Linked DNA regions of Mus musculus. The protein of the gene in region 2 interacts with the protein of the main gene of each other region in a pairwise test. Links are inferred from orthologs where the notes say so. Each region holds a gene or a part of one and is shown on either strand. Other genes may lie near its edges.

Region 1 (3,816 bases), on a different chromosome or scaffold from region 2:
CCCTTGCACATTCTGAGCTGGCCAACACCAGCTCCCTTCTCAGTACACAGGAGAACCAAAAACCCTTACTTTGATATATACTCCAGTGTGGTCTAAATGTGGTGCCTCCAAAGTCCTGGGATTCTCTTGGTGGGTGGGATATTCTTTTTAATCAAGTTTCACCTTGGACTTTAAAGTTGTACAGGCAAATGCCAGCTTGGGTTAGCCTTTCGGTTTTTGGCCACTTACACTCAAAAGCGAATCAATCACTCTCTCTCTCTCTCTTTCCCTCCCTCTACGCCCCCCTCCACTCCCTTTCATTTTTAGCTACTTACACTCAAGAGTGAGTCTTTCCCACCCCATTCCCCTCTCAAGAAAACTATGGAATCCACTCCCACTCTAAGCCTCCATTCCATGTCTTGGCTTCTTTCCTGCCATCTTTTGATCCAACAGATTATCCACTAAGGACTCCAATAAGGCCACAAAAAAACCCACACCACACTCTTCCTTTCTTCCTGTCGGTACCTATATGTACATACCTTTATGATTCTTCCTAAAGGCAATCACTTCTTAAGAGCCACAAAACCCTGATCCCTCTGGTGTGAATAAGTCTGGGGACAGGGAGAACAGAAGCCCATTGGCTGGTGCCCGGGAAGCTCACCTTTCAGCTGCAGGTAACCCTGAGCCAGATTAACATACGCCTCCGCTAGTTTCCAGTGCCAGTCGCCATAGCAAATTCTTGTTAGTGCCACACAGCGCACAAGCTCCTGGATGGCCTGTTTGTACTGTTAGAAAAAGAAAATGAGTTTATCAGGTAGACAGCTTGGAACTCCAGAGTCACGAGGGCTGCTTGTGTGTAGATCTACCCAGTAAGTATTTCCTGAGCGCTTGCTATGTGCTGAGCGCTCGGGAAGTGCCAGAGACTCAAACAACCACCTGCTGGGGCAGTAGAGTGGTCATCTGGTTGCGAGAAGCAAACAGCAACTCATTTAAGAGGTACATACACTTTAGTGGTGGGGAATGTAGTGGGATGAAGGAAAACTAGGCAGGTAGAACAGACACGGACCACCTCTGAGGTCTTCTAGCTAGCCTGCAGTGATCGGCTCCTGCAGTGATCGGCTCCTGGGGAAAGTTAGCTCTCAGCTCAGCAGTCCTCTGTAGCTGTGATAATGAGCATTGTCCCTTTTGTCCCTTTCAATGGGTCTAGAATCACCTAGGAGGCACACCGCTGGGAAGGTCTGATTGCCGGTGTTTCCAGTGAGATTTAACTTAGGTGTGGGTGTCTCCATCCCACAGGCTGGAGTCCTAGACTGAATTCAAAGGATACGGCAAGCTGAATGCTGGCATTCATTTTTTTATTTTATTATTTTCTTCCTGACTGGATGCTACATGATCAACTGCTCCCGACACCATGATGCCGTTCACCCCCAAGTTGTGACCCCCAAGCCCTGTTCTCTTTAGGTAGCTTTTGTCACAGAAATGAAGAAGCAACAATCTTCTGTGACATTAGCGAAGAGAGTGAGGCCAGTAAGCCTCAGGTGGGAAGCCAGAGGAGAAGCACATTTGTAGTCAGGGTCAGGACAAAGAGGGAGCCATGCTTCCCAGCAAGGGCAGCATTCAAGGCAAGAAAAGATGCCTTCAAGCAAAGCTCTGACATTGGTTTCACACGTTCTGATGGAGATGGGCCTGCGTCTCCTCCTGTTGAACCGGTGCTGCAGCACGGAGGAAGGGAGGCACTGCCAGGTTTCAGGCCCACACCTCCAGGAATTAGGAGTTTCCACTTTGTTTCTTCCTGGTGTGTGTCACTCTTAGAGCCTGAACAGGTTTTTATTTTTTCCAGGACAGAGTTTCTCTGTATAGTCCAGGCTTTCCTGAAGCTCTCCCTGTAGACCAGGCTGGCCTGGAACTCACAGAGATCCGCCTGCTTCTGCCTCCGGAGTGCTGGGATTAAAGGCGTGCGCCACCACTCCTGGCTTCCCTCCAAGGTCTTCCGTGGAAGTCCTCACTTCCTGCATACCAGAGTGAAGCTGACTTTGGAGATGAGGACTTATAGGAGGACTAGGTTAAAATGACTTCCCTGGGGTTTGGGAGGTGGCTCAGTGGTGAAGAGTGCTTCCTGCTCTTACACAGGACCTTAAGTATGTGGCTCAGAGACCACTCAGAGTTCACACACAAATAATAAAAAATCAAATAAATGTTAAGATAAAATGAGGGCCCTAGTCCAAGATGGCTTCCGGAAGAGGAAGAGGCCCAGCGTCCTTGTGCACCATGACCGTGTAAGGACACAAAGGGCACAGCCACCAGCAGGCCGAGGACACAGGCTCAGGACACAGGCTCAGAAGTCTATCCTCCAGAACAGCAGGGAAGCATCCTGCTGCTCAAGTCCCTTGTCCCTCAGCACTTGTCCCTGAGCACTTGGTTACTGCAGCCCCAGCACACCAACACAGGACCAAGCACTAAGCTGTGAGCGAGCCTGAGTTAGCTCCACGCAGAGACCACGAGGAAGGGACAGTTGCCAGCGTTGCTGATGGTCGATGCTAACTGTTGACCTGACAGAAGACAGAATTGCCCAGAGGTTTAGCTGGTCAGCATGTCTATGGGGCATTGTCTTGATTATGCTGAGATGTGAAGGCCCGCCTATGGGAAATACAATACAAACTCAAGGGAAGACGTATCCTACAACACAGTTGGAATATATAATTCAAACTCTCAAGAGCAGGAAAGGCAAAGATGGCTAGGAACCCGCAGCAGATTGACAGAGACTGAAGAGAACCTGCAGCTAGACTCACATCTATTAATGGAGCTGCTCTTTGCTTTGTCTTTTTAACAAATTATGTGACTGTATTATACAATATTAGTTTCCTAATTTCAATCACTGTGTTATGTGGTTAGGGAGTGAAATTATTATACTTTATTTGTAATATATAGATATATAATAGCTTACATATTATATATAGTATCTATAACCTGTTCTCAGATAGCTCAGGAAAATGACGCTTGTAAGGGGGAAGAGTGCGGGGGACAGAACAGAAACAAGAGCTCTAAGTGAACACCCCGGGCCGTGGCTCCGTGCCACCATAAGGATGCAAATAAACTAATAAAACAAATGCTGACAACTGATGGGCCATCATTTTTCTGTAAGTCTGAACTTACTTTCAAATAAAAAGTGACATTGAAATGGATATTCTTCCAAGCGAGTTCTTCCAGGTGGGCCCTGGTGAAACGTTAGATCCTGCCAGGCGCTCAGCTCGTGAGCCGCAGGGTCTTCCCTGAGCTCCTGCCTCTCCACCTGTGAGTCATCGCGGCCCATGGCTTCCTCTCTGCACACTCAAGCCTCACCTGAAGCCCCCACCTCCCCCGTGCTGCTTCTTTCCTTCCTTAGTCCTCTGCTCACTGGTCCTACATCCTCCCATGGCCCACCCGACCCTAGACGGACCCACTCTATTCCCCCCTACCCACACCACAGTCCTCTACAGGCAGTGACCCCCTTAGCTCCATCCTGTTCACGGTCATATCTTAGGCATCCTTACTGGAACCACAGAAACAAGAAATGGCTTGTACCGTTCCAGACACAGGAGGGCGGTTCATGCTTTGCACACGATAAAGGCCTTTGTGTGTGAAGTTTTAATTCTCTTGTGAGGCTCTGGTTGAGGAGCTGCCTGAGCGCTTACTCAACGCCAGGACTGACCCACAATGGGCACAGAATAAAAACACAGGCTCATTTACTGCACTCTGAAGGGCAGGGGTGTGTCTCCAGGCACCCAGGCAGATGGAGTCTAAATCAGAGTGCCCTCCACCCCCCACCCCCACCCCATCCACCTCTCTAACGCCTATGCT
Region 2 (4,476 bases):
GGTTGTGAGCCACCACAAGAAAACTGGGAAATGAACTTGAGTTGGTTGGGAGAGCAACAAATGCTCTTGACCACCGAGTCATTTCTCCAGCCCCTGACATTTTTTTTTTTTTTCTCTTTTGAGACAGGGTCTTGCTATACACCTATTCTGGCATACTTGCTACATAGCCCAGGCTAGCCTCCAGCTTGTGATGTCCCTTCCTCGCTGGGATCCCAGGCATGTGCCATAGAGCCTGTCTCCTGGCAGGAAGCATATTCCTGATTTTCCTATCACAGATTGCAACACCAAGAGAGCCAAGTTATATCTGCGAGGTCCCGTGTCTGTGCATGTGAGTTCTATTCCTTCCTTCTCCCCGACCTCTGATCCAGTCACAACCGACTCAGAGCTCCACCAAAGGCACAGAGCTGGAAAGCAAGCCTGTGAACGTATAAAGGACTCTGGTGTGTATGTATTTATTTATTTGGTTGGTTAGTTAGTTAGTTAGTTAGCTGGCTAGGCAGGGTCTCCTGCAGTCCAAGCCAGCCTTAAACTCCCAAGGATTGGGTTTGCAGCCATGTACCACTGAGCCCAGATCTTTTGTTTTTATTTTTGAAATGTGTGGACAAAATAGTCCTGGTGACTTCACCTAGTTGTGCTTGGCCTCATGACCACAGATACCCAGGCATTTCTGGGAAGTACAATTTTGTTTCTGCCTTCTGTCTGTCTGCCTGTCTGTCTGTCTGTCTGTCTGCCTGCCTGCTCTTCCAGAGGTCCTGAGTTCGATTCCCAGCAACCACGTGGTGGCTCACAACTGTCTGAAATGGGATCTGATGCCCTCCTCTGGTATGCATGAAGAGAGTTATGGTGTCTGTAAGTTGCCTGAATATCAGCTACCCTCTAAGTCTTTACCAGGTGAGGAAGGATCACAGTAGTGAAACTGGGGAGACCCCTGCTGCCCTGGCCCAGTGTCTAATCAGACCCTCATGGACAGAGAGGCTCTGCCTCGAATACACACGGTTCTGCTGGCATTGAAGGGTTTCTCATAGATTTACCGACAATTTTTAATTTTAGATTTTTTAATTTACTTTTTGAAACAGTCTTGTTTTGTAGCCCAAGTTGGTCCAGAATTCATTATGTAATCAAGGTTAACTTTAAAAATGACAATTGATTTCCAGAATGGTGGTGACATCTCTAATCCCAGTACTGGGGAGGCAGAGGCAAGAGGATCTCTGTGGGGCTGGAGAGATGGCTCAGCAGTTAAGAGCAATGACTGCTCTTCCAGAGGTCCTGAGTTCGATTCCCAGCAACCACGTGGTGGCTCACAACTGTCTGAAATGGGATCTGATGCCCTCCTCTGGTATGCATGAAGAGAGTTATGGTGTACTCACATATGTTATAAATAAATAATTCTTTAAAAAAAAAGAAAAAGAGGATCTCTGTGGGTTTGAGGTCAGCCTGGTTTGAATGGTGAGCTACAGGACAGCTGGGGTTGCATAGAGAGACCCTGTCTCAGAAACAAAACCAAAAGATGACAATCCTCCTGCTTTAGCCTCCCAACTGCTGGAATTAGTGTAGCTTGACAAAAGACTCACAAAGACCACAGAGACCGCCGCCATCATTGCAAAACGCATGAGGATTTTACTTATCCAACATGTTGGGGAACCCCCTCTCAGCACGCAAGCCGGAAAGAGACCCAGAACAAAGAAAGAACACATTTTTTATACCTTGGTAAAGGCCGGATATAGGCACCAGGGTAGTTTGGCTTATTTTAATTGGTGTAGCCAATAACCTTTTTAGACATTGGTTGGTTTGTATAGGGTGACTCTCATTTTGTCTGTCCTTGAGGTTTTTAGTGTGAGGCGGGACAGGGGGGATTGTTAAACTTGTTCTGGAAGCTTAGTAATTTTGACCGTTAAAACTATATTTCTATATTTGTTTAGTCAGCCAGCTTTTTATCTGCCTCTGTACTTGGCCTGCTAGTACAGTCTGGAAAGTCCTTTTGAAGGGGGAAGGTCTGGGGTAGTCTTGAATTTATATTGAATATTACAGAATTACAGGTATACACTACCATTCCCAGTTATTATTTTAAACTGTGTGTGTGTCTGTCTGTTTGTTTGTCTGTGTTCATATAAGTGGAGGTCAGAGGTCAACTTTCGGGAGTCAGTTCTCTCTTTCCATCATTTATGTTTTCAAGTTGAGGCCTGGTAGCCACACTAGCCAACACATATGCACACACACACATCTCAATATATCGTTGATTTCTTCTCCAGAGTTTTAAAAAAAAAAAAATCAAAGCCTTAAAATGAATGAAATCTAGTCCAAGCTCCTACAAAGCCTATGCAAGACCACTCTCTTCCTTTCCAGTTTCTGCAGGTCCTGGCTGCTATAGACTCAGGTCGGGCTAACCAGCCTCAGGGCAGCTGCTGACTCACGCTGACTCTCCTACCTCTCAGCCCCTCCCTCCCAGCGGAGGGCACCCACCCCATCCCCCTCTGTGACCTAACCCACCCCTCCCTGAGCCCACCTGGAAGACGTCGTTGGCACACTTGCGGCACAGGTTGTGTTGGCAGGGCAAGATCACCACGGGCTTGGAGAACATCTCCAGGCAGATGGGGCAAATGAGCTGCTTCTCCAAGTTGTCCATGTTGTGCGCATCCCCTAGCAGCGGCTTGAAACCCACCGTGAAGTTCATCCCGCGGCGCTCTGGAGCCTGCCTCGCTGTGGCCCTGTCGTTGGCCTTCTCCCCTGCCTGTGCACCCTTCCTCGGTCAGTTTAGGCTGACTGGATTCTTGGGATCCCGGCTATTGCTCCCTCTTGGAAGAGTCCTGTCCCTTCCCCTAACAGCTCCTCTCACCCCTGTCTATTTCCAGACACTCTGTCTACACTCCTTGCTCAGAACCCTCACCAGGCGCTTGTAGCTTTATCTTGCCCTGTGAAATTCTCCTCCTGTCCCCCCAAACCACCCTCTTGGTCACTCTTTGGGCAGCACTGTTTGTCCCTTCCTCCCTAGAGAGATTAACATTACTGTGGGGGTGGGGACACAAGGGGCATCCGTGTGACATTCCAGTTCCCAATTTAGCTCATGTAAGGTGAGCCACAGCTGTCCCCGGACTGAGTGGCCCTGACTCATTCAGGAAGGGGTGGCTAGGAATGGTATGGGGCTCACTTGCTGTCACTGGGAAGGCTCCTGTGAACATTGGTCTCCATGTTCTGGCTTGGGACCTTTTTCCAAACAGAAACAAAGTCTAAACTAGCCTTTGGGAGAGATGGCCCCAAGTGGGGGGGCAAGGTCTGGATAGATCTGTAGATCTGGTGTCATCTCTTCCTCCACAGGCTTAGCCAGTGATCCCGGCCCTCCTAGAGAGTGCATGATTCAGAAATGGAATGCCAGACCAAGAAAGAGAACTTTTCTTCTTCTTCTATTTCTTCTTCTTCTTCTTCTTCTTCTTCTTCTTCTTCTTCTTCTTCTTCTTCTTCTTCTTCTTCTTCTTCTTCTTCTTCTTCTTCTCCTTCTTCTCCTCCTCCTCCTCCTCCTCCTCCTCCTCCTCCTCCTCCTCCTCCTTCTTCTTTTTAAAACAGTATAGCTTTGTAGCTTTTCTCTGTATAGCTTTGGCTGTCCTGGAACTCACTCTGTAGACCAGGCTGGCCTCAAACTCAGAAATCCGCCCGCCTGCCTCTGCCTCCCAAGTGCTGGGATTAAAGGCATGTGCCACCACCACCCGGCCGAGAGAGAACTTTTTGACCCATGTCTGCCCCATATTTGTTCTTGCTCAGCCTTTACAGAGAAACAACCCCACACTAATTTGCTTTGGGGAGTGGTGGGTGCAACCTGGAGGTCACAGGACAGTGGACACCCCCACAAGTCAGTTCCTTTTCTGCAGCATATGGGTCCCAGAAATCAAACTTGAGTCATCAGAATTGATGACAAGTACATTTACCCAATGAACAATCTCACTATACACTTCCCTCTCCCTTATTAAAGACAGGCTCTTGTGTTGTAAGAGTCTGACGAGCCTTAGCTTACTGGGGGACCCTCAGAGCTGGGGATCGATGCAAAAGCAAGAATAATTTATTGTTCCAGCATTCTGAGGTTGTCATTCTCAGAATGACACCTGAAGGAGAGGTGGCAACCCCAGGCGGCCTGTTCCATAAGTTTTTATATGGTTTCCAGGGGTGGAATAGAGCATCAGCAACTAGGCACATTATGATTGGTGGGACAGTGTGCCCTTTAAATTGGCTGGTCTTTAGGGAATGAGGTAGTAAGGGCTTAATTAGCCCCTTCCTTCCAGCCTACGTACTCTCTATCCTGTCTCTTCTAGGAGGAGAGGGATGTGATGGAATTTCTCAACAGCTCTGAGGTGCCCTGTCTTAGTCAGGGTTTCTATTCCTGCACAAACATCATGACCAAGAAGCAAGTTGGGGAGGAAAGGGTTTATTCGGCTTACATTTCCATACTGCTGTTGATCACCAAAGGATGCAGGACTGGAACTCAAGCAG
Region 3 (4,582 bases), about 99 Mb from region 2:
TTCTGAGTTTGAGGCCAGCCTGGTCTACAAAGTGAGGTCCAGGACAACCAGGGCTATACAGAGAAACCCTGTCTTGAAAAACAAAACAAAACAAAAAAAAAATCTATGGTATCTAGCCAAAGACTGGGAGAAGTCCAGGGATTACTCTCACACAGTCAGCAAGTACCCATGGAACCTATAAATACCCAATATGAATTGAGAGTGGAGAGATAAAAGTAGATTTCCTGTTAGTGGGAGTCAATCTTAGTAATGAGTACACGATTCAATTCAAATACTTAATCACCAGAAAAGATGGCCAAGAAAGACAGTCCCTAACCCAGAACTACCTTGGACACAATCATCTTAAACCATACAGCAGCCTCTGTGTGTGTGTGTGTGTGTGTGTGTGTGTGTGTGTGTGTGTTTGCTTAGAAGTTATCTTAACCTAAGGATGACTTTGCTTCATACCCTCCCGTGGCTCTGTCACCAGCACAGAAAAGCCCCACACCCAGGCATCTCTGCCCTTCAGCATTCTTCACGTAGCTGGGTGGTCTCTTCTCCTGGTCACTGCTCCCCAACACACACACACTCACCTGCCTCCAAAATTCCCACTCCAGCTCACTGGTTTGAACTGTTACACATTTTTCAACACTTTGGGAAGGTATTTATTTCCTGGTCCCTTCTTCCATCCTCCACACTTCAAAAGGTTGGCTGGTGCTCTGATCCTCAGGGCTCTAGCCTAGCACACACCATGATGAAATTCTGTGGGAGATTTTTGTTTTCTTTCTCTGTCGTGGTGGGGATAAAACCCAAGGCCTTGGTGCAAACTAGGCAAACATTTTACACCTTAAGGATCTCTACTGTCCACTATCATGTGCAAACTGGCACCCCTGGAGCCTGGAAAAGGGCATAGATCCCCTGGATCTGGAAGTTGGACAGTTGTGAGCTACCACGTCCAAACCAGGATCCCGTACAAGAGCAGCCAGATCTCTCAACCAGGGAGCTAACTCTCCAGCCAAGATGTTGTAAGCAAGTAAAGATTCAAATCCTGGCTGCACCTTAACCCTTTGATCAGGAACCACTAAATCTTGGAGACTCTTAAGAAGTTTACACACATGTCTTGGAGGTATACTGTCCTTTAAAGTGTCTCTCTCTTCCTTAAAGCCGGGGTTTAATTCTATAATAAAACTGTTTCTTAATAAACTCCAACTTCATTTCATCAAAGGCAAAAGGGGGGGCTGGGGCAAAATAAATGGCAAAAATAAAGTACTTGCCACACAAGCATGAGAACCTGAACCAGGTCCCCAGTCCCCACACCAAAAAAATGTTCCCTGTAGCTTGTGGGCTAGCTAGTAGTAGTCTAGGTGAATCCAGCTCCAGGTTCACTAAGAGCCTGTCTCAATGAAAGTCAAGGCTAGTATGACACCAAGGAAAATAGCTAACATTTGCTAACCTCTGGCCTCCACATGCACACACTGTGAACACACATACCAAAAGAAAAGACAGGCAAGGCAGTGGTCCACACCCGCAATCTCACCACTTGAGAGGCCTAGGCAGGCGGAATGCTCCAAGTTCAGAGTCTTGCCTGATCGCCTGATCTACACAGCCAAAGCTGTATTGCGAGACCCTGTCCCCCAAAATAAACACACAAATCAAAATAAATAAATAATCCCCCCAAACAGTAACTCTCAGAGGCTGAATAGAAACTGGGACTGTAGCTCAGTTAAACAGCCCCTATCTAACATGTGTAAACCTTAAAGTCAGTCATCACCAAGTAACAAGCAAGCTTCTTCTCCCCCCAAAACAGTCTATGTAGCCTGGACTGTCCTGGAACTCACTCTGTAGACCAGGCCTGTTCAAACTCATAGAGATCTGTCTCTGCCTCCAGCATTCTGGTATTAAAGGTGTGAGCCACCGCCACCACCGCCCAGTAACAAGCTTGACAAGACCATTTTATTTTAGCCTCTTCTTTCTTTTAACTGCGACTCTGGTGGGCGGGAGGATCGAATATTACTCTGTAGTATAGGCTGGCCTCAAACTCACTACATAGCCCCGTTGACGTCAAAACTCCCAAGACTGTTGTTCCTGACTCAATTTCCAAATACTGGGATGTCAGAAGTGGGTGACTAATTGGGTCTTCCTTTGAAAAGTAATTCTAGGTTTGTAGGTTAAAAGACCCAACAGTTAACTTCCAGGAGGTGGCAGGGGGTGGGGGGACCATAGGGGCTCTTACCACAAAACTAGGTGACGCTGTAAAACTTATGCCAGTGTCACATCTAAACTCCACAGACAGACCGAGCCTACCACATCCAGCAACACATTTCCCAACCACAGAGGTTGGTCATCAGCTCTGAGACACAGCCAGCTGCCAATGACCTAGTCTCCAAGGCGCTTCCCTCTATGGAGCCAACTTCCGCGAAGGGATGGAAGGACATCCCCTTGGCTCTCCCTTCCAGACAGCTCGGAATCAGGGACTGCCTTTATTATTATTTTCCATAAAAGGGTCTTCCTCAGTGGCAGAGGGCTGACCTCAAAACTCGCGGCAATCCTCCTGCCTCAGCTTCAGGACTTCTCATTCAGAGACACCCATAACCTTGGCCTCTAGCACCTGGGACGAGTATTCAAAACCCCGCGCCACAGCAGCCGCACCAGCCCCGGGACCCACGCGGGCTCCGGATGGGACCCGCCCGGCTGCAACCACAACTCCGGACTCGGACAGGATCGGAGCGGCAGCCGACGACCGGGGAGCGTGTCCTCCCGGGAGCCCGAGTCCCGCCGAGCTGGGAAGAACTCGGCCGAGCTGGAGAGGCCGAGAGCAGCAGCAGAGCTCCGGCGGCCTGGCCCTATGCGCCCGCCCGCCCTCCCGGCTGAGAGGCGGAACGGAGCGGCCCCGGTCAGCGCGCGGCCGGACACCGCCGCCGCCGCCCCGCTCCGTGTGGGAACGCGCCTCCGGAGCCCCCGTCCCTCCGAACCTGCTCCGCGGCTCCGCCGGCGTCCGACCGCCGCTCCCAGCGCCCCTTCAGTCACTCGGCTCCCTGCCCCGCCCCTGCCCCCGCACGCCCCGCCCCCGGCACCGCGAGCACGCGCGCGGTGCGTACGCGTGGCGTCATTTCCGTGACGCTTCGGACTTCCGGGGACTGGCTGGCGGCTGGCCGGAAAAGATTGCAACGCTCCGGAGGCTGTCCACCCGAAGGGGCAGTCCCTGAGGGCAGGGGACACCGAGTGACCGTGAGGCCCTCGCTGACGTGTCTGTGACTCGCGAGAAGCCGCGGTTTCCCCTGTCATTCCTCATTCCGTCTACCAGCTTCTGCTTGCATTAGCCTGAGGGCGACAAGGAGCCCCGAGGACAGCCATACACGAAACGGGACATCAAAGTCTGGGACCAGGAGACATCTCCCAGCGCTTAGCGAATGCGGCCGCCAGAAGGAAATACAAACACACCTTTCCCCTAGTGAGCAGTTAGCAGGGAATAGATAGTCAGGAAAAAGATCGAGAGGGAAAAGTTTAGCACATGACTGCCTGTCTGTAAAGATAGATAACGCTCCCACTGGACAGTTGACATGCCACCTCACTAGCTTTTGTTATCTCCCTGGGCCAAGAACCGTCGGGGTGGAGGAGATGAAGTTATAGGATAGGGGAGGAGAGAATTCAGAATGAACCCTACAAATGAGCAACCCAGAGTCCGTGAGACTGGCTCTCAGCTCTGGAAAAAACAAAAAACAAAAACAAAACACTGTTCCCAGCAGAATTTTTTTTTTAACCCCTGTCTCAATAAATGCCTGTTTTCACCTTTTCTGACTCTGCTATTTTGTTTTTCACTCCTGGGCACTCGTCCATAGAAAGAACCTGGTCACCTGGGCAGATGGCCCACAGAAATGAACACTCCTGGCTTGCTCTTTTTAAGAGCAGGACTTGAAACTGATTCAATTTAGGAGAATCTTAAGGAAATTGGTCCAATAGCAACTAGGCTGTGATCCCAGCCTGGCTAGGTGGAGACAGGAAGTTCAGGAGTTCCCATCTCTAGTGTTCTTGGCCTGGGCAAATATAAGGAAGGTTGTGGGGTATAGCTTTATAATGAGAGCACATGATGATGCAGGAGTTGTGAGAATAAAAGGATCTTTCATGACCCAGCTGTGCTTGGCACAAGGCTGTAGGGTGCCAGACAGGGTCAGGTTGGCCTAGGGAAGTGGCTCCAAGTTGGATGTTTAAGGTCTATGAAGATTAAAGAAAGACACAGACAAATGAGGTGAAAGCGAGTTTTATGAAAGAGGATTACAAGTAAAGAGGGCCAGAGAGATGTTTCAGTGTGTAAAAGGTTTCCCATTCAGGCTTGACAACCTAAATCCAAATCCTGGAACTGACCTGACAAAAAAAAGAAGGAGGGGATGGAGAGATGACTCAGTGGTTAAGAACGGTGGTTGCTCTTTCAGAGGAGCTGGGTTCGATTCCCAGCACCCACATGGCAGCTCACAACTGTCTGCAACTCCAGTTGCAGAGGATCCAATACCCTCACACAGACACACATGCAGTCAAAATACCAATGTACGTAAAATAAATAAATGGTTTCAACAAAAAGTAGAAGGAGAGACCCAACTAACAAAGA
Region 4 (4,264 bases), on a different chromosome or scaffold from region 2:
GAAGCATGCTGGCCTGCCCTTATATGGCCGAATCCTAGACTTGGCATTTCTTATTATTTCCTGTATACTTCACTGCAATTATGAGTGTGTCTAAGCTAGCTAAACTCTTTAAAGTTTAATCCTCCAAAAGAGCATGACGGAACTAGGGCATTTTTTGAACACTGCATTGCTTCGGGACTATCAGAGAGGAGGCCTTTCTCCCTTGGTCATGTTTGATTCTGCAGGGCCTTCCAAACAACTGCTTAGCCTCTTCTGCCAGGGCCAGTGCAGCAGCGGTGGACACAGGGATCAGGGGACAGTCTACCCACAAAAGCTGATTGCAGTTGTGGGCCACAGCATTCCTAAAAGAAAAACAGCCAAAGAGCCTGTTAATTCTCCTGGGGAAAAAGTCATTATGGTACCCCCCAGAGCCAGGAATGGGTTTGGGGAGGGAGCCTGTGGACAGAACATCCAAAGTTCCTGTCATTAGGTAAAGGTGTGTGTGTGTGTGTGTGTGTGTGTGTGTGTGTGTGTGTGTGTATTCTCTCTCCGAATACTGGAAAGAACAGAGGAGGGTCATACAAACTGAGACATAAGATCTTAAAATGAACTCTGGAACATGGTGGCAAACAGAGGCTATCTACAGAAAAGACATAAGAATGTTTCACATGCACCCAGTGAAGAGAGAGAGGAACATGGGAAGGAGAGAGGGGGGTAGAGAGGGAGAGACAAGAGATAGAGAAGCATACAGACAGGAACAGAAGAACTTGTGCAAGAACCCTTTATCTTATGGCAAACACCAAGTAAAGAAACACGCTGACAATCCCAAATCTCAGATGTTCGGAAACATCGAGGGGCAGAAAGTCAGCCGGGTCCGGATGAGCCTCAGTTGGAGACCTGACGAGGACCCACGGAGGAAGAGACACGCAGGGGAGTCTAGGGCCACGCCGGACACCGGCGAGTCCCGTGCCCAGTTCTCTCCTGCGGCTCCTTGGTGACTCCTGCCTGGGTTCTGCCCCTGGACGGCCACGGCCTGCCGGTGCTGTGGGTAGAGCTCAATCCCGCGGAGCTCGCTCTTCCCAGCTCTGCCCGGAGCTGCCCCTCCCCCGGGAAGGTGTGTCCCTGTTTCCTCACCTGAAACTTCCTTGGGAGAAGCCGGTCCCTCCCTCCCGTCCGGCGGCAGGGGCGGGCCGCGGGTGGGGCGCCGGGGCGGCCTGGCCTGGCTGGGGACCGCGGCGGGCGCCCGGACCTGGAGGGGACTCTCGGGCCAGCCCGGGGCAGCATGTGACTCCGACCAGGTGGGTGCTCTCTTCTCTTCTGAGCCCCGGACTCTGGGTGGTCGTGGAGCCGGGTGGAGGTAAGGCAGGGGCGGGAAAGAAGAGAGAACTAGGCCTCCCCCGGGACCAGTCCCGGCCAGGTCCCGGGGCGCAGACTCCGGAAATGGGGGGCTGGGCCAGTGGGCCGGGCTCCGAGTGAGGGGCTGAGTACCTGGTCGGGACCGGGAAGGGAGCTGGAAGGAATGGCCTCCTGGCAAACTTTGCTTTCCAACCAGGTCTGAGCCTTGGAAATGGGCACCCTGCCCCGCAATGTTCCCGGGCCAATAATCAGAACTTTTTTCCACCCGGAAAGTCGGGGCCCTGGGGAAAGCTAACTCCTATGATAAAGAATTCTTGAGATTCAGTTTCTAGACGGTTCCTTACCTGGAAGTGTCTTTTTTTTTTCTTTTGTAACCAGGCCTGGGCCTTGCTTCGTTATCTTCGCGGCATTTACATGCCTACGTATGTGTGAATCTATGTACACACCTCTCTCTCCGCTGTTAACTAAGGCTCTGAAATCTGAATCAGGGATCCTTGCCCTGAGTTCCCTCTCCCCCATTTACCTGTGTATAGGGAGTTTCTTGTTGGCCTCGGCACAAGGTTCTAAGGAACGTGTAAGAGAGCTATTCGGAATATCGCGGTGCGGTAGCCCATTTTCAGAGCCCTAGTTTGGGGCATCTTCTATAAATGCCTTTTTCCAGAACTGATCCGGGAGAGCTAGCCCTAGAGCCTCAGTTTTCAAGTCTTCTTCCCCTCCCCCTTTCCTGGATCTTGGGTTCTCTGGACAATCTTGTCCTCCTGTCGGCCTAGCAGTGAACTCTGGCCAGCGCTGTGTCAGACTGAGGGGGAAGGGCACACCAAACTGGAGAGTTGAGAGGGTGGTTTTCCTTTCAGCTTCCTTCCTCCCTTGCTCTCCCACTGTGCTCTCAGCTTTACTTCAAAAGCACCAAGTCCCAGAGAAACAGCCCCCAGTGTGGCCTCTTCCCACACTTCCTGCTTTATCTACACCTGGGGTATGCAAGCTTCTGGCTCTATCAAAACAGTCATCATTTGTTAACCAGTCCTCGGGTCTAAGACAGAACCCATGGACCTTAAAAGGACTTGGAGGGGACAAGGGGGAGGCTGAGTAGAGGACAGACAGCTTCTAAATTCTAAGTTTGTGGTAAAAGAGAGATGTAAGCATTGGGAGGGACAAGTCAGAAGGAATGTGAAGGGGTACCTCTTTTCAAAAGAATACAGAAATTGAAGATGTAGCCAAAGTTTTCATATATCTGTTTTCCCTGGAGGGTATGGCTGCCCATAATGTGGTTTGTCTGAAGTTGTGTGTGGTCACGTTATGGACTTGCCTGTCTTTGGGATAGACGTCATTTGTGGTGTCTGGAATAGTCACTTACCCTGGTGTGGACAGAAGTGCGATCTCCTGAGATAATGTTGTAGAGAATGGTATAGACACAAACAGGTGTTAGCCTGTGTTGTAAACAGGACCCTGTACCTGCAATGTGTGTAGAGTAAGCTGGCCACTTGGAGTGTCTGTAAAGTACACAATGTCATTTGTATGCCAATGACAAACAAGTCACACCTTGTTTGACTGGATGGCCCCATAGTCACTGGTAGGCCTAAGGGCATAAGCATCCTCACTTAAGAGTGCTCTTATATAAGACCACCTGGCCCCTAAGACAACCCATGATATTGTCTAAGACATTGGACAATAGGTAAAAAGGTGCTTATTCCATTCTTTACTGGATTGGTTGGACAAGTTATAACACTGGTGTCATACTATACTTATTTCGGTGTCTGGAATATTGAGGGTAGTAATGTCAAACACTAAATCAAAGTACATATCTATGTGGTGATTATATGAGCTAAATGAAATGAAGAGGGTATCTTTTGGATTCCTCCAAATTCCAAGTGGGAGATTTGTTTTCTTACTGTAGGCAGAAGTATAGATGCCATTGTAAATGCAGAAGCAATCCCAAGAGGTAAGGAAGGGTATCTTTGAAATCCTTTTACACCTGGATAATTAGAAATGGACAAGAGCTAAAGTGTTGGTTGTGGAGTCTCTGTGAGACTGTGGAGGTCTTACTGTGTTCTGCACTGTTCTGTTAATGGGATCACTTGGAGCTTTGTCTATGGGGTCTTGAAGATGTGAAATGTCTCTGGTCTGGAGAGAAACCAGTTCCCTGTGGTGCTGTGCCCTGTCTCTCCCTGTATGCAGATAAATAGTGATTAGTCATCCCAGATGAGAGGGATATGAGGATGTTTCATCTCTTAACGGAATAGGTAGCTTAAAAAAATTCCGTTCTAATGCCTTCATATGAATGTTTTACAGATTTCCTTTAGCTTTATCCATATTCTAGCTGGGTCATGCCTGTTTGCATAGGATTATTAAGTTAGAATTAAATATAAGAACTAACAGTATGTGCTAACTTTGGGGTATAAACAATTAAGTGGCTTTCTTTCTTTCTTTCCCTTTTTCTCCTTCCTTCCTTCTTCCTTCCCTCCCTCCCTTATCTCTCTCTCTCTCTCTCTCTCTCTCTCTCTCTCTCTCTCTCTCTCTCTCTCTCTCTCTTTCCTTCTTCCTGGGTTTTTGAAACAGAGTTTCTCTTTGTAGTTCTGACAGACCTAGAATTCACTTAGTAAACTAGGCTAGCCCCAAACTTAAAGATCTTGCTGGCTCCACCTCCTGATTGCTGGGATTGAAGGGGCATGCCACTACCCTTCTTCTAAGGGTATGATGATATTGGAGAGAGGGTTCCAGACAGTACAGATGCTGATGAGGAAAGATAACAGGGTTTGTCACATAGTTTTCTGAGGCAGGTAGGAGCAAGTTTCAGTGAGCAAATAGGTTATTTAACATGTGGCTGAGAGAATAAGGTCACATTATGTATCATTTATACATTTTATATTTAAGAGCTAGATTAGAGTAAATCACATACTGCATTTTCATAACTGGAAAAGGACATTAAAGT
Region 5 (4,431 bases), on a different chromosome or scaffold from region 2:
TTACAGGCACTCACTGTTACACCCTGCTCTTTTGGTGCGGGCTTTTTCCGTGAGTGTTTGGTACATTGCACAGGGAGTCTGAGGCGTCTGCATATCTGAATTGGTTATGTGGAGGCTCCAGAGGCATCTCTGTCCCTGAGAATGGCAGGATTTCCTTTAACTGGAGGCTAGCAATGACTTGCCACAGTTCCTTACAATCTGTCTCCTAACATGCCCCTCTGACAGAATGACACCCCAGGACACTGGGGGAAAGACACAGACGAAACAGAAGTAAGAATGCTCATTCACACAGAGCCGAATGTCCACAGGGGCTGGAGAGCCGGCTCGGGGTGCTAAGAGCGCTTGCTGATCTTGCAAAGAACCTGAGTTCAGTTCCCAGCCCCCCACATTCAAAGGCTGACAGCTGCCTGTCACTCCAACTACAGAGGATCCTTCACCCTCTTTTGGCCTCCAAGTATGAATGCTCACACACAATCATACACACATAAATAAAGTCTTTGTTGTTGTTTTTTCCAGACAAGTTTTTCTCTATGCAGCCCTAACTGTCCTGAAACTCAATCTCTAGACCAGGGTTGGGGCCTTGAACTCAGGGATCTGCCTACCTTTGACTCTCTAGTGCTGGGATTAAAGGCAGACCATACTAAGCTCAAAAATAAAATTCTTAGGGCTGGAGAGTTGGAGCAGAGGTTAAGAGTTCTTTAGGGGCTGGAGAGATGGCTCAGCAGGTAAGAGCTCTGACTGCTCTTCCAAAGGTCCTGAGTTCAATTCCTAGCAACCACACGGTGTCTCACAACCATCTGTAATAGGATCTGATACCCTCTTCCGGTGTGTATAGGAGTACAATGTACTCCTATAAATAAAACTAAATAAACCTTAAAAAAAATTTTTTTTAATAGTCTTAAAACACACATTGACACCAGGCGTGGTGGCGCACACCTTTAATCCCAGTACTCGGGAGGCAGAGGCAGGCAGATTTCTGAGTTCGAGACCAGCCTGGTCTACAGAGCGAGTTCCAGGACAGCCAGGGTTATACAGAGACACCATGTCTTGAAAAAACAAACAAACAAAAAACCAACAAAAAACAAAAAAAAAAAAACAAATAAAACCACATTCACAGAGCATAGCCAGCTCCAGTTGCACATTCCTGTAAAGGCCTGCTTAACTACTCCAAAAGGAGCCAGTATGCCTCTGGAGAACTGGGTCAGCATGTCTAAGCTGCACGTCATTTTGCTTTAAAACAGCTTTTGCAGAACTTATCCCCTCCCTTAAGACATTTACATTCCTTATGTAATGAGAATTTAAGTCCAAACATCTATTCTCACTAACCCCAACGCATGTGGTCTATGCGTCGTAGGGGCCAACAATGGCCTATAGAAAAACCACACAAGTTATAGAACCAGGGGCTGAAATGAAGGCATGCGTGTATGAAGGACCATGTGTCAGTCTGAGGAAGAGGTGATTGGCAGATCCCTACCTGCCTCTCCGCCCTAGCCCCTGCCCATCTCCACAGAAATCCTGTCCCCACGTGGTCACTGTCGACCTCTGAGCATCTAGCCGTCTCTCTAAGACATCTTGGCTGGCCGGAGATTGGACCAAGGGAACGTCTGAAGCCCAGGTCGGGGCCATTCTTGGCAGAGTTGGAAGGGGCCGAGCTTGGAAGTGGGAGGGAGGAACCAGCCCAGCAAAACCTGAGGGGGTCACAAGAATAAAGACTGTCAGATTCTGAGAGAGGGGGAGAGGGAAGAGGGAGATGATCCTGGTCTCCTTGACTAGCCTCACTGACCTGACGGTGGCAACATCTTCCTGTTATATGAATCCTGTAGCTCTTGTCTCCAGTCACCTATGTTCCCCTGGACAATAGGAGAAACAAGGATACTTCAATTCAATTTTTCAGGCCACCTTCCAAAGAAAAAGCCCTATAAAAACAAAGTCATAATCCTTAAGTTACTGACAGGTCTATCGGGCTGTACGCTTCTCTTTTCCTACTTCCCTAAGGCACACGGTAACCAAACCACTTGCTTGTCCCAACTACGCTCCTGATAGAATGAACCAGGCAACAACCCTAAGGTAAATTTACTGAGACGAGGCTTCCTTCTACTTACAGGAATGTGGGTGGTGTGCCTTTACCTTCCTCCTTAAGTGTCTACGGTCCCTGCAGCTCAGGACTCTCTGGACACAGTATAAGGAGCCCACTCTCCACAGTCCTTGCCATGGAATGGTAGGGCCGTTGGGAAGCCCATCTAGGCACCATCGAGCCAGGATTTCTGAGTCATTTCCTATTAAAGAGTTAGCCCAAGGCCTGGTCCGGGAAGAATGAGGCCACATGTGGGGTTAAGCGTCTTCCCTAGGATCCCTGAGGAATCGGAGCAGCCGGGAGCCCGTTGCTGGGAAGCCAGCTTCCTGGCAACTCATCTGGGCCTCTCTGTAACGGGCCTCAGTTGCTCTCTATCCCCTCGGCTTCCATTCCCGATGCATCTCTCTTCGGAGTCCTACAGCATCTTCTTTCCCCCACTTCCATCAGAATTCAAGTTTTTGGGTTTTTTTTTTTTTCACTCAACCCCCGCGATTCCTACCCGTTTCTCTTCCTAGACCTAGTATGAGTCTTTTTCGATGGAATTATCTTGGTCGCTCCCTGTCCTGTCTCCCCCACTTCTCTCCCGCACACACCCCGGGCTAATCCCCGTCAGGACCCTGAACTCTGAGGCTGTCTTGACCTCCTCATCTATCCTTTGACCCAGCTCCTGCACCCCTCTTGCCCTGTGGATCCCCTCCGCCCCCCTTGCGCCCCCTCTCAGACTCTTCCCGCCCCCAACTGACTCTCCCCGAACGCCCCTTACCCAGCGCGAGATCCGCCCTCTTGCCACGCCCCTTACACCTAGCACCCAGTCTAGACGCCACACCCAGATCACGCATGCGCGGGGCGGCGGGCTGCTCTACAGCTCCATTTCTCCCTACCGGAAATAGGAAGAAGAAAGGTGCAAGCAGGCACCCTGACGCCCCAAACTTTCTCCGCGCCCTGACGGCCCCTCCTCTCCCCGGGAACCCGGGAAAACGTGCCGGCCAATCAGAAGTGGCGGAGAGCGGGAGATGAGCAACTCCCCCCTGCGCATCGGCCAATAGAGCAAATGGGTGCAACTCAGATGGCCAATCAGAAGCAGCCGGCGGGGGGGCGGGCTCGCGGGCGCGAAGTCGGACCCGGGAATTCCGAAGGAGGAGTCTGCGCAGCGCGCGCGCGCGCCTTCACCCAAGCCCCGCCTTCGGGGCGGCTTCCTTGGCTGTCAAACCTCGGCGGGAGCGCGGGACGCAGGGTACGGAATCCCTTCCTCAGTTTACCCCGCGAGCGAAAAAAAGAAAGGGTGAGATCCACTTTGTTACAGAATTAGGGACCCGTCTGCGCCGCCCTTTGCGGGTGACAGTGGATTCACTTCCCTTAGGGGAACTGATCCGAAGAGCGGGGGTGGGGGGGAAAGATGGAAGGGGTGCGCTACTTGGATTAGAAAGTTTAACCATAAATTCCCTGACTCCAGGTTACACTTAGGGAGAAGACCCGTGTCACACGCACGTTTGTGTACCAGGGCCCCTTCACCCCCTCTGCCTGTTCCCAGTTGCGGTTTAAACTAGCTTTGCCTTGCACAGATTGTCGGAGGCTCCCGGATGTTGAGCCGCCTGAGGATCCGGCTTCACTGAGGTGCCACAAGACGTCTTCCTGGTTTTGCATCGCATCAGGACTTTACTGGAATTGCTTTTTAAACCTCATCTTGACAGCCTCTGTCTTGGTGCATATCCAGGCCTCTGGCGCTCTGAATCTGCACTGCTTAAGTTGGCATTAGGCACAATACTTAGCTGTTGACATCAGAGAGAACTGAATTGAAGCCCACGGTGCATGACCCAGGAGTAGGAGAGGGAATGGACTTCTGAGGTGGGCAAAGTGGTGCAGAGGGGGCACCCCCCATGCTGCCCTGTTTCCAGCTGCTGCGTATAGGGGGCGGCAGGGGCGGTGACCTCTACACCTTCCACCCCCCGTCCAAGTCTGGCTGCACCTATCGATTGGGCTGCAGGGCCGACCTGTGTGATGTGGCCCTGCGGCCCCAGCAGGAGCCCGGCCTCATCTCTGGAGTCCATGCGGAATTGCATGCTGAACTCCAAGGGGACGACTGGAGGGTCAGCCTGGAGGATCACAGCAGCCAAGGTAAGCAATGAGCAGAAGAGCCCCAGACAGGCATGAGTAAGAGGAGCCTCTGGGACCCTGCTACCTGCCTCCCAGAGTCCTAGTCTGGTGAGCAGTCTTGGTTCCGTCTTGTCTGCTCACACTTCTGTCAGCTCCACACAGGACTAAACCTGCTTGTCTGCTTTAGCCTACACCGGACCTAAGAGGGGTGTGCAAGCTGTCATCAAATTCTACATTCTAGTATTAAGCTCAGATTTGACTGT
Region 6 (3,816 bases), about 9.8 Mb from region 2:
CAGGAGTTCTGCCAGCAGACACTCAATCTCCAAATGCTTCCCATCCCTGAGAAAGCACCCACTAGGCATTTTCTATCTAAAGAGCATCAGTAGTACCTACTAGTATAAAGTGTTGAAAGTACTATATATACCTACATATGTATATATAAGTATGTACATATTATACATACATATATATGTGACTTTTGAAGGTATAACTGTTTTCTTTTTAATATATTTATGTACAGTTTTACAGCTAGTCTCAGTATGATGCCTATTATAAAGGAAAACACACATCCAAACAAATGGACAGAACTACACTTTAAAACACTGCCTCAGTCTCTCACAAAATTCCAGAGGGTTCAGGTCATGATGTTTGTCGAACTTCCTGTAAGTCCTCTTCATTGCCCTCTGTAAGCACAGAGCTCGACTGGCTGGGCAGTGCAGGCTGCAGTCACTCCTCCTCAGTAGTCCTCCCCCAATTATCCCCCCTGTCTGTGTGGACTATTTCGTCCTCTCCAGTTCTTCTGAAATCTTAAGTATCCCCTTGTCCTAGTTGATGGGAATCACTCCAGCTGGCCAGGGGGTGCTTAGGAATCTCCTGTTCTCCTCATCTCTACAACAAGTTAAGAAGAACTGACAGATGGGATGGAGTGGGGCTCAGTCTCATCTCGTGGCTTTTGGTGGTGGTGGTTTTGATAGTGTAAGATAGAGTCTTACTATGTATTGCAGGCTGATCCTGAATTCATTTCAACCCTACTTCCTTGGTTTCCCAAATGCTGGCATTACAGACATGAACCATTACACCTAGCTTTCTGGTTGTTGTTAGGGTTTTTTGTTTGTTTGTTTGTTTTATTTCTCACATGAATTTTTACATTTCAGCGAAGATATAGTGAGATTGTTAAGGAAATCAAATCAAAGGACCTTGAAATCAGGCTATACAAGAAGAGAAAGCATGAAATTCATAGGAGGTAAAAAGAATTTGGTAAAAAAGAATCACGATTTAGTTATTTGGGCAAAAGTGTTACTTGCTTTTTAATTTTCAAAAACCATCTCATGTTTTCAGACTCAGAGAATTTGCCAGCTTGTATGATACAATTAGAAATGAAAGAAACAAATTTGTAAACCTACTTCACAAAGCTCATCAGAAAGTAAATGAGATAAAAGAAAGACTCAAAATGTCATTAAATGAGCTGGAAATCTTAAGGAACAGCGCTGTCTCTCAAGAACGGTAGGAGTCATAAGCACCCACGCTTGCTTAAGGGATCGGATCAGGTTACCTGATGGGCCGGCTGGAGGGGCCACGGCAACACTGAGGCTGTGACAATCTGATTGAGACCAATCAGATGTTTTATACATTATCAGAAACAGAATCTAGTGGCAATTTCCAGGATCGATACAATTGTAGTTGCCAGGATACAATGACAGTTGCAAACTTTAGAGAGTATTTAATGCTAATGCCTAAGATCAGTTGTCCTGTCAAGCTTCCCTGCTTCCTTGACCTTAAAGGAACGGACGGAGACACACAGAATGTTTGTTTACTGCCTGAGCGAGTGCATGGCCACTCAGGAACAGGAAGGCATGTTGTACCCCCGGAGCTGTGGACTCTAACCAGAAAAGCCTATGACACGTGCCTCCCAAGACAGCTAGGCCAGGCCAAGTCCACGGTTCTCTGAAGCTTGTGTCCTTCTAAAGCCTTGTCTTCTATGTCTCTGGCACTCTAGACTATCCTGGGAGTCTTCAGAGATGGGGAAATACCTTGCTGTAGATGGTGGTTGGGAAACCTTGATTTAACCGGAAATCTGTGTTTGTTGACACTGAAGGTCCTTGCCATCAATTGGTTTTTGATACATCAATAAAGTTGCCAGTAGCCAATGACTGAGGGGCAACATAGTGAAAATTGTGGGAGTGGAGTAGGATGCAGGGAGAACTGGGGACAGGGGTAGGGGGTGGAGGGCAGGGCAGACTAGGAAGAGAAGAAGGGGATAACAGCAGGAAAAAAAGGCCAACCATGGGAGTTTTAAGGTAAGTGGCCACTTCCCTGGTTGGGCCTGGGAAGATTTAGGAGTGACCAGTCATTGAATTAGCCAAGGTGCTCAAGCGTGTGTGCTTGTGTGTGTGTATGTGTGTGTGTGTGTGTGTTTTCTATTCGCTATCTCAGATCGTGTGCACCCGGCCAGGAGCACAAAGTCATGTAGACAAAACTACCTGCTCCACCTTGCTTCTCAGGTAACAACCTAGGTGTCTGAGCATCCTTGCTGTTCTCCATCTAGTAGTCACAGTTTTTAATGAATGCAAAACTTAATATAAAACTATTTTTCCTAATGATGAACTGCTGACTTTCATTGCTCGATTGAGAAATGAAGCATAAATCTGCTATCTGCATTTGAAGTTAGGAGACAAATCACTTCTTGGATAGCATCCCCCGGTTGTAGGTTTAAGGCATGTGATGTGCATATGGAGAGGCAGGCTACAGCAGATCTGCTAAGACAACGCTTTCTAGACTCAACTCACAGCTCTGTCCGTCTCTGTCTGTAAGACCTTGGGCGAGATACTCTACCTCTCAGGACCCTTTCTTTATAATCCTCCTCATTAGTGTGTAGAACCTTTTGTTACTACACAATAATGACAAATGAGTTTGTCTATGTAATAACATCAGAAATAACACCTGAGAAATTGTAGTCTTGGAAATATATTGTTTACCACATGCCAAGATCCACTGGAATCTTCCACCTACTTGGTTCCTGATTTCCTGAGACTACATAACTGGATTTTTCTGTTAGCCATCATTGCCCAGATGACTTAGATAAAGATAATATCAAATACCCTGATTAAAAAGCACGATTGAAAAGGGAAATTCCCTAGTCAGATTCTTACCCAAAAGGAAATTAGAATACCGTATGATATCATCCAACCTGACCCATGTGAGTCTGCAGATCCAATAGGCATTGTCAATAGAAGCACCTCTGTCCTCAGAACTCGGTCTCCTGAGGTGACAGAGCAGAAAAAGACCTTTTCACAAACAAGTGTGACACAGTGGTTGACACAATGACAGTATTGGTCACCTGGCTAGAGGAAGGATCCCACAACAGAGAAAGTGTGTCCTGGGAGGTCCTGGGTGAGCATTGCTCTTCAGACATCTCAGTATTCTTGAAGAGAGTAATGATCTTCCCCACTGTGCCATTATTTTAAAAGAAAGCTACAAAACGCCATGCTAAAGCATTCCAACAATGTGACCATCAAGGAGAGCATACAGAACGATGTGTGCAAAATCACTGCTAAACTCCAGGAAATGAAGGAGAAGAAGGAGGCCCAGCTGACCAGCATGGACAGGCTGGCCAGCATGATCACCGTGATCGAAGAGGAGATGGTGCAGCTGCGCAAGAAGTATGAGAAGGCCGTACAGCGGCGGAATGAAAGGTAAGGGTCGCAAATGTGGCTGGGCTGAGTGCCCGGGACCCTACTGAGAGGTAGCCATGTTCTTTACCCTTCGGGGGGAGCCATGGGTTTCCCATGAAGACAAGACAGGCTGCCTGTGGAAGGGAAATAACAGGGAGGTTGGGGCAGTTGAAGAACAAAGTCATCTCTGAAGTGCTAGGAGAGTGGTTCTCAACCTTCTTAATGCTGTGGCCCGTTTATACAGCTCCTCAGGTGTGCTGACTCCCCAGCCACAAAATTATTCCGCTGCTACTTCATAATTGTAATTTTGCTACTGTTATGGATCATAATGTAAATATCTGATCTGTGACCCGATGGGGGTCCCGTCCCACAGGCTGACAACCTGTACTCTAGGCTCACACTGAATTCCTTCTGCATCAGCTGCTGTGAGTCACTCTC
Region 7 (3,816 bases), on a different chromosome or scaffold from region 2:
CTTGCAGCTCTGCACTCTGGGAGTTTTGGTGGTGGGAGGGAGGAGGAGGAGGATAAAAAGTTCAGCGTCATCCTCAGCTACACGGGTGGTTTGAGGCCAGCCTGGGCTACATGAGGGAGGATGGATATATCTATATATCTATATATATAGATAGATAGAACAGGATAGATAGATGGATAGATAGATGATAGATAAACCATCTCTTATATGCATTTAAAAGGACTGCGATCCCTAGGCCTTGAGCCCCTTGCTCCTGCTTCTTCTTATCAGCTCTGAGTACCAGGCAAGTTCAGTCTGGGGTCAAGTTCAGGGCAGGGCCAGCTGTCAAGAGGCCTGACGTCATAAGGGAAGTGGACATTTCAAGCCCTCACGGACTCTTGCATAATCCCTCTCCCCAAAAATCCTGCTTGCTCACTGATCTGCTTCTTCTAGGACCTAGACTGGCAGCAGAGGGCTATCTAGGCCTCTAACTGCCAACTCAGATACCCGGTATTCCCAAGGCTCAGGCCTGGCAAGCCAGGCCCCACCTGCTTTTGCAAATGGCATTTTAGTTGTTGAGCCATCTCTCCTGCCCCTTAAACCAAAGGCTTCTAAGTTCATGTGTCTAGTCCACCCTGGCTCCTAGAAGCTGAGCCACAACATTAACATTTGTACATTTATTTACCTAGGCATCTCTATTTGTATGCATAAAGTTCTTTCTCTTCTTTTGCAATAGGGCCTCGTGTAGCCTAGGCTGGCCTTAAGCTTGCAAAAGAGCTAAAGATATACTTGAACCCCTAACCTCTCCCTCTAACTTTCCCGAATGCTGGGATTACAGTAGGCACCATCACACCTAGCTGACATTTCAAATCCAACATTCCCAACACCGAATCCCCGAACTCCCTACCCCCTACCCCTCAGCCTCCATCCCGGAGTCATTCTGGTCCATCTCTCTGTGTCACAGTCCAAACACAGCCCATCAAAGAGCCTGGGCAGTGGATACAAAGGACCCCAAACACGGCCATGTACACCTCTGCTGTCACTACCCATAGCCAGACCCCTTGGAGAATGACAGCAGTGTCCTGGGTGGCTGCTGTGCCCACACTCCCCACCTCCAGCCACTGCACAGAGAAGCAGAGTGGCCTTCAAGGGCGTACCCACTCCATTCCTAAGACCTGCCAGGAACAGCTGGGCGCTCACAGCAACTTCCTGCCCTACCTGCCTTCTCTGACTTAGCTTGCTCTGCTCTTCCTCTGGCCACCTATTCAGGCCTCGTTTCATAACCCCTCAAACTGCCAGGCACACAGCTGACATAAAGCCTCTAGGTCAGTCACGCCCTCTGCCCCAGTGGCCATATGGCTTGCTCCCTCACCCTCCTCAGGCCTCTGCTTAAATGTCGCCTTCTTGGTGAGCATATCCTGACTGCTTCCTTTGAATGTGCAGCCTCCCTTCCTACCGCTAAGGATCCACACAGGTTGCTGGGCCTTGCGGTAGTGTGTACTTAACCCCAGAACCTCTGGCACCCCCGTGACTTTGTCTACTGCCTGTCTTCCCTCAGCATGTGGGCTGTAAGAACGGCCCTCTGCCCGCTTCACTTCCCAGGACGTCCTGGGCCTCCGTAGTGACTCACAGGCCATACCTGTAACCAACAGCCACGAATGAGTGGATGATGAGTCTCTCGGGCCCGTGCGGCCACTCCGCAGCCCTTCTGCCCACTCACCTGAAAGTCTTCCTCATCCAAAATCTCCTTCCTCCACTTGATCAAGAAGGCGGCGCAGACATAGAGATGGAAGTGCGAGAAGCCTTCTGGCTCAGACTGGGAAAGAAAACGAGAGTCAGGTAGGCCTCAGGGCCCCAACTGTGAACCTCTCACAGCTTAAAACCTCTTGTGTGACAGAGAACATGGGCTCAAGAGATTCCAAAGGCAGACACAAGACGAAGGTGGGTGGAGAGGCTTCACGGGGATAGCTGGGAGAGGGAGGGGTCCCTCCATACCTGGTACGTGTCCCACAGGCGGATGGTGCAGCGTAGGGGAAGTTCCCGCATCAGCAGGTTGTTCATCCACCGAAAGGCAAACTGCAGGTACTCCACCTCGTACCTCCTGAAGTGACTGTGTACCTGCTCTGAAAGCGGCACCAGGTCAGAGCTACCAGCAGGCCTCAGGGGCCAGGAGCAGGTTCTCTTTCTTACCAGCCCCTCCCACTGTGGGCTGACCTTTGACCCCCCAGTGCCACTCACGGCTGACGTCAGCACATGGCCTATGGCATGCCAGGCATCTCACCAACCCATTCCCAGGTGCCTGCTGCCATCCTGGCAATGCACTGGCCATGAAGCAAGAGGCATGAGGTAAACTTAGCTGCTTGGGCCTAATCATTCTTCAGGGCAGGGCCAGCACGGAAAGGGAGCCTGGAGGCCACCTTGGCCAGCTGCCTTCAGCATCCCTGACAGACGGCCAGCAGAGGTGGCTTCTTTCTCTTGGGTTTTTGTTTTTGTTTTTGTTTTTTTCGAGACAGGGTTCTCCGTATAGCCCTGGCTGTCCTGGAACTCACTTTGTAGACCAGGCTGGCCTCAAACTCGAAATTCGCCTGCCTCTGCCTCCCGAGTGCTGGGATTAAAGGCATGTGCGACCATGCCCGGCGGCTTCTTTCTCTTAGGAGGAGACTCACCAGGAGATCATTCTACAAATTCAGTAGAAGCTAGCTGCCACCTGCCACTTGGCTCCTGCCCTGGAATCTGCATCATATCCTGAGCAAGTTAAACAAGCCTGGTCCCTACCCTGCATGACGGCTTCGAAATTAATGCTCGACAGGTGGGCTTTTTGTTACTGATGTTTTAGGATGCGCTTGTACTAAAAAACCATGCAGGCGTGTGTCTGCGCGTGGGCATGTGCATGTGAGTATATGTCTCTGTGTGGGCACGTGCACATGAGCACAGTCAGGGGCATCAGAGTGCCAGGAGGTACAGACAGCTGTGAGCCACTGCAGCTGGGTGCTCAGAGCTGAACTTGGGGCCTCTGGAAGAGTGAAAAGGGCTTGTGACCCACGAGCCACCTCTCCAGCCCCGCTGGTGGGATGCTTTTAAATCACGGTCTTCTCATTTATGAAATGGGGCAATCGGAGGTCAGCAAATGGCTCAACAAGGAAAAGGCATCTACCATCACGCCTGACAGCCTGACCCCGGAACCCACCTGACAGGAGGAGGTAACAGACTCCTGGGCATTGTCCTGAAGCCCCCTCCATGAGGTGGCATGTGTGTACCTGTCCCCAGAAGCGTTGGGGTTCTTCATGTTTTGTTGGTTGGTTTTTTTGTTTGGTTGGTTGTTTTGTTTTTTTTGGTTTTTCGAGACAGGGTTTCTCTGTGTAGCCCTGGCTGTCCTGGAACTCACTCTGTAGACCAGGCTGGCCTCGAACTCAGAAATCTGCCTGCCTCTGCCTCCCGAGTGCTGCCACCATGCCCGGCGTTTTTCATGTTTTAATGAGGATTAAGTGCTCACATTTCAGAGGGCTTTGGGGAGGAAAATGAGAAGGTGAGTCTGTGCAATAATGCCTGACTGCTCAGTCCAGGGCTTCAAGAGGAGCAGTAACAAGGGTCGCTTAGGGGGCATGGGGACTTGCTCATGAAGGGATTGTGAGGTGGTTGTTGTTGCTGCAGTCTTTCTAATGAGAAAGTACATAAATCATAAGAGCATGGTGCACATTTATTTTATGTGTGTGTGGGGGGGGTGTTTGTGTGTGGTTGGGGGAAGATATGTGTGTGTGTGTGTTTGTGTATGTGGTTTGTGTGTGGTTGGTGGGGGGGATGTGTGTGTGTGTGTGTTCTTGTGGAGGTGAGAGGACA

The links.
Region 1: the proteins of Trim54 (region 2) and Ttc23 interact in binary tests that used the Homo sapiens proteins (3 or more experiments, as listed by UniProt). The two-hybrid records come from large-scale screens. The link is inferred for Mus musculus from reciprocal best matches to the Homo sapiens genes TRIM54 and TTC23.
Region 3: the proteins of Trim54 (region 2) and Rabgef1 interact in binary tests that used the Homo sapiens proteins (3 or more experiments, as listed by UniProt). The two-hybrid records come from large-scale screens. The link is inferred for Mus musculus from reciprocal best matches to the Homo sapiens genes TRIM54 and RABGEF1.
Region 4: the proteins of Trim54 (region 2) and Arhgef5 interact in binary tests that used the Homo sapiens proteins (3 or more experiments, as listed by UniProt). The two-hybrid records come from large-scale screens. The link is inferred for Mus musculus from reciprocal best matches to the Homo sapiens genes TRIM54 and ARHGEF5.
Region 5: the proteins of Trim54 (region 2) and Cchcr1 interact in binary tests that used the Homo sapiens proteins (3 or more experiments, as listed by UniProt). The link is inferred for Mus musculus from reciprocal best matches to the Homo sapiens genes TRIM54 and CCHCR1.
Region 6: the proteins of Trim54 (region 2) and Ccdc146 interact in binary tests that used the Homo sapiens proteins (3 or more experiments, as listed by UniProt). The two-hybrid records come from large-scale screens. The link is inferred for Mus musculus from reciprocal best matches to the Homo sapiens genes TRIM54 and CCDC146.
Region 7: the proteins of Trim54 (region 2) and Tbc1d22b interact in binary tests that used the Homo sapiens proteins (3 or more experiments, as listed by UniProt). The link is inferred for Mus musculus from reciprocal best matches to the Homo sapiens genes TRIM54 and TBC1D22B.

The regions. Positions count from the first base shown.
Region 1 is NC_000073.6:67,664,111-67,667,926, reverse strand, and holds part of Ttc23 (tetratricopeptide repeat protein 23), read right to left. Parts: intron 765-3,816; coding exon 641-764; intron 1-640. UniProt on the Homo sapiens protein: Participates positively in the ciliary Hedgehog (Hh) signaling.
Region 2 is NC_000071.6:31,115,105-31,119,580, reverse strand, and holds the start of Trim54 (tripartite motif-containing protein 54), read right to left. Parts: upstream 2,970-4,476; 5' UTR 2,672-2,969; coding exon 2,504-2,671; intron 1-2,503. UniProt on the Homo sapiens protein: May bind and stabilize microtubules during myotubes formation.
Region 3 is NC_000071.6:130,170,264-130,174,845, reverse strand, and holds the start of Rabgef1 (rab5 GDP/GTP exchange factor), read right to left. Parts: upstream 3,028-4,582; 5' UTR 2,952-3,027; intron 2,856-2,951; exon of another isoform or gene 2,556-2,855; coding exon of another isoform or gene 2,509-2,555; intron 1-2,508. UniProt on the Homo sapiens protein: Rab effector protein acting as linker between gamma-adaptin, RAB4A or RAB5A. Involved in endocytic membrane fusion and membrane trafficking of recycling endosomes. Stimulates nucleotide exchange on RAB5A. Can act as a ubiquitin ligase.
Region 4 is NC_000072.6:43,264,467-43,268,730, forward strand, and holds the start of Arhgef5 (rho guanine nucleotide exchange factor 5), read left to right. Parts: upstream 1-1,177; 5' UTR 1,178-1,277; exon of another isoform or gene 1,278-1,336; intron 1,337-4,264. UniProt on the Homo sapiens protein: Guanine nucleotide exchange factor which activates Rho GTPases. Strongly activates RHOA. Also strongly activates RHOB, weakly activates RHOC and RHOG and shows no effect on RHOD, RHOV, RHOQ or RAC1.
Region 5 is NC_000083.6:35,515,636-35,520,066, reverse strand, and holds the start of Cchcr1 (coiled-coil alpha-helical rod protein 1), read right to left. Parts: upstream 2,815-4,431; 5' UTR 2,326-2,814; coding exon 2,128-2,325; exon of another isoform or gene 2,103-2,127; intron 1,917-2,102; exon of another isoform or gene 1,851-1,916; coding exon 1,784-1,850; intron 1,689-1,783; coding exon 1,475-1,688; intron 926-1,474; exon of another isoform or gene 1-925. Other genes in the region: Tcf19 (transcription factor 19-like protein), read left to right, coding at 3,952-4,189. UniProt on the Homo sapiens protein: May be a regulator of keratinocyte proliferation or differentiation.
Region 6 is NC_000071.6:21,302,647-21,306,462, reverse strand, and holds part of Ccdc146 (coiled-coil domain-containing protein 146), read left to right. Parts: intron 1-861; coding exon 862-950; intron 951-1,045; coding exon 1,046-1,210; intron 1,211-3,174; coding exon 3,175-3,399; intron 3,400-3,816. UniProt on the Homo sapiens protein: Essential for sperm flagellum biogenesis and male fertility.
Region 7 is NC_000083.6:29,598,125-29,601,940, reverse strand, and holds part of Tbc1d22b (TBC1 domain family member 22B), read right to left. Parts: intron 2,103-3,816; coding exon 1,975-2,102; intron 1,796-1,974; coding exon 1,700-1,795; intron 1-1,699. UniProt on the Homo sapiens protein: May act as a GTPase-activating protein for Rab family protein(s).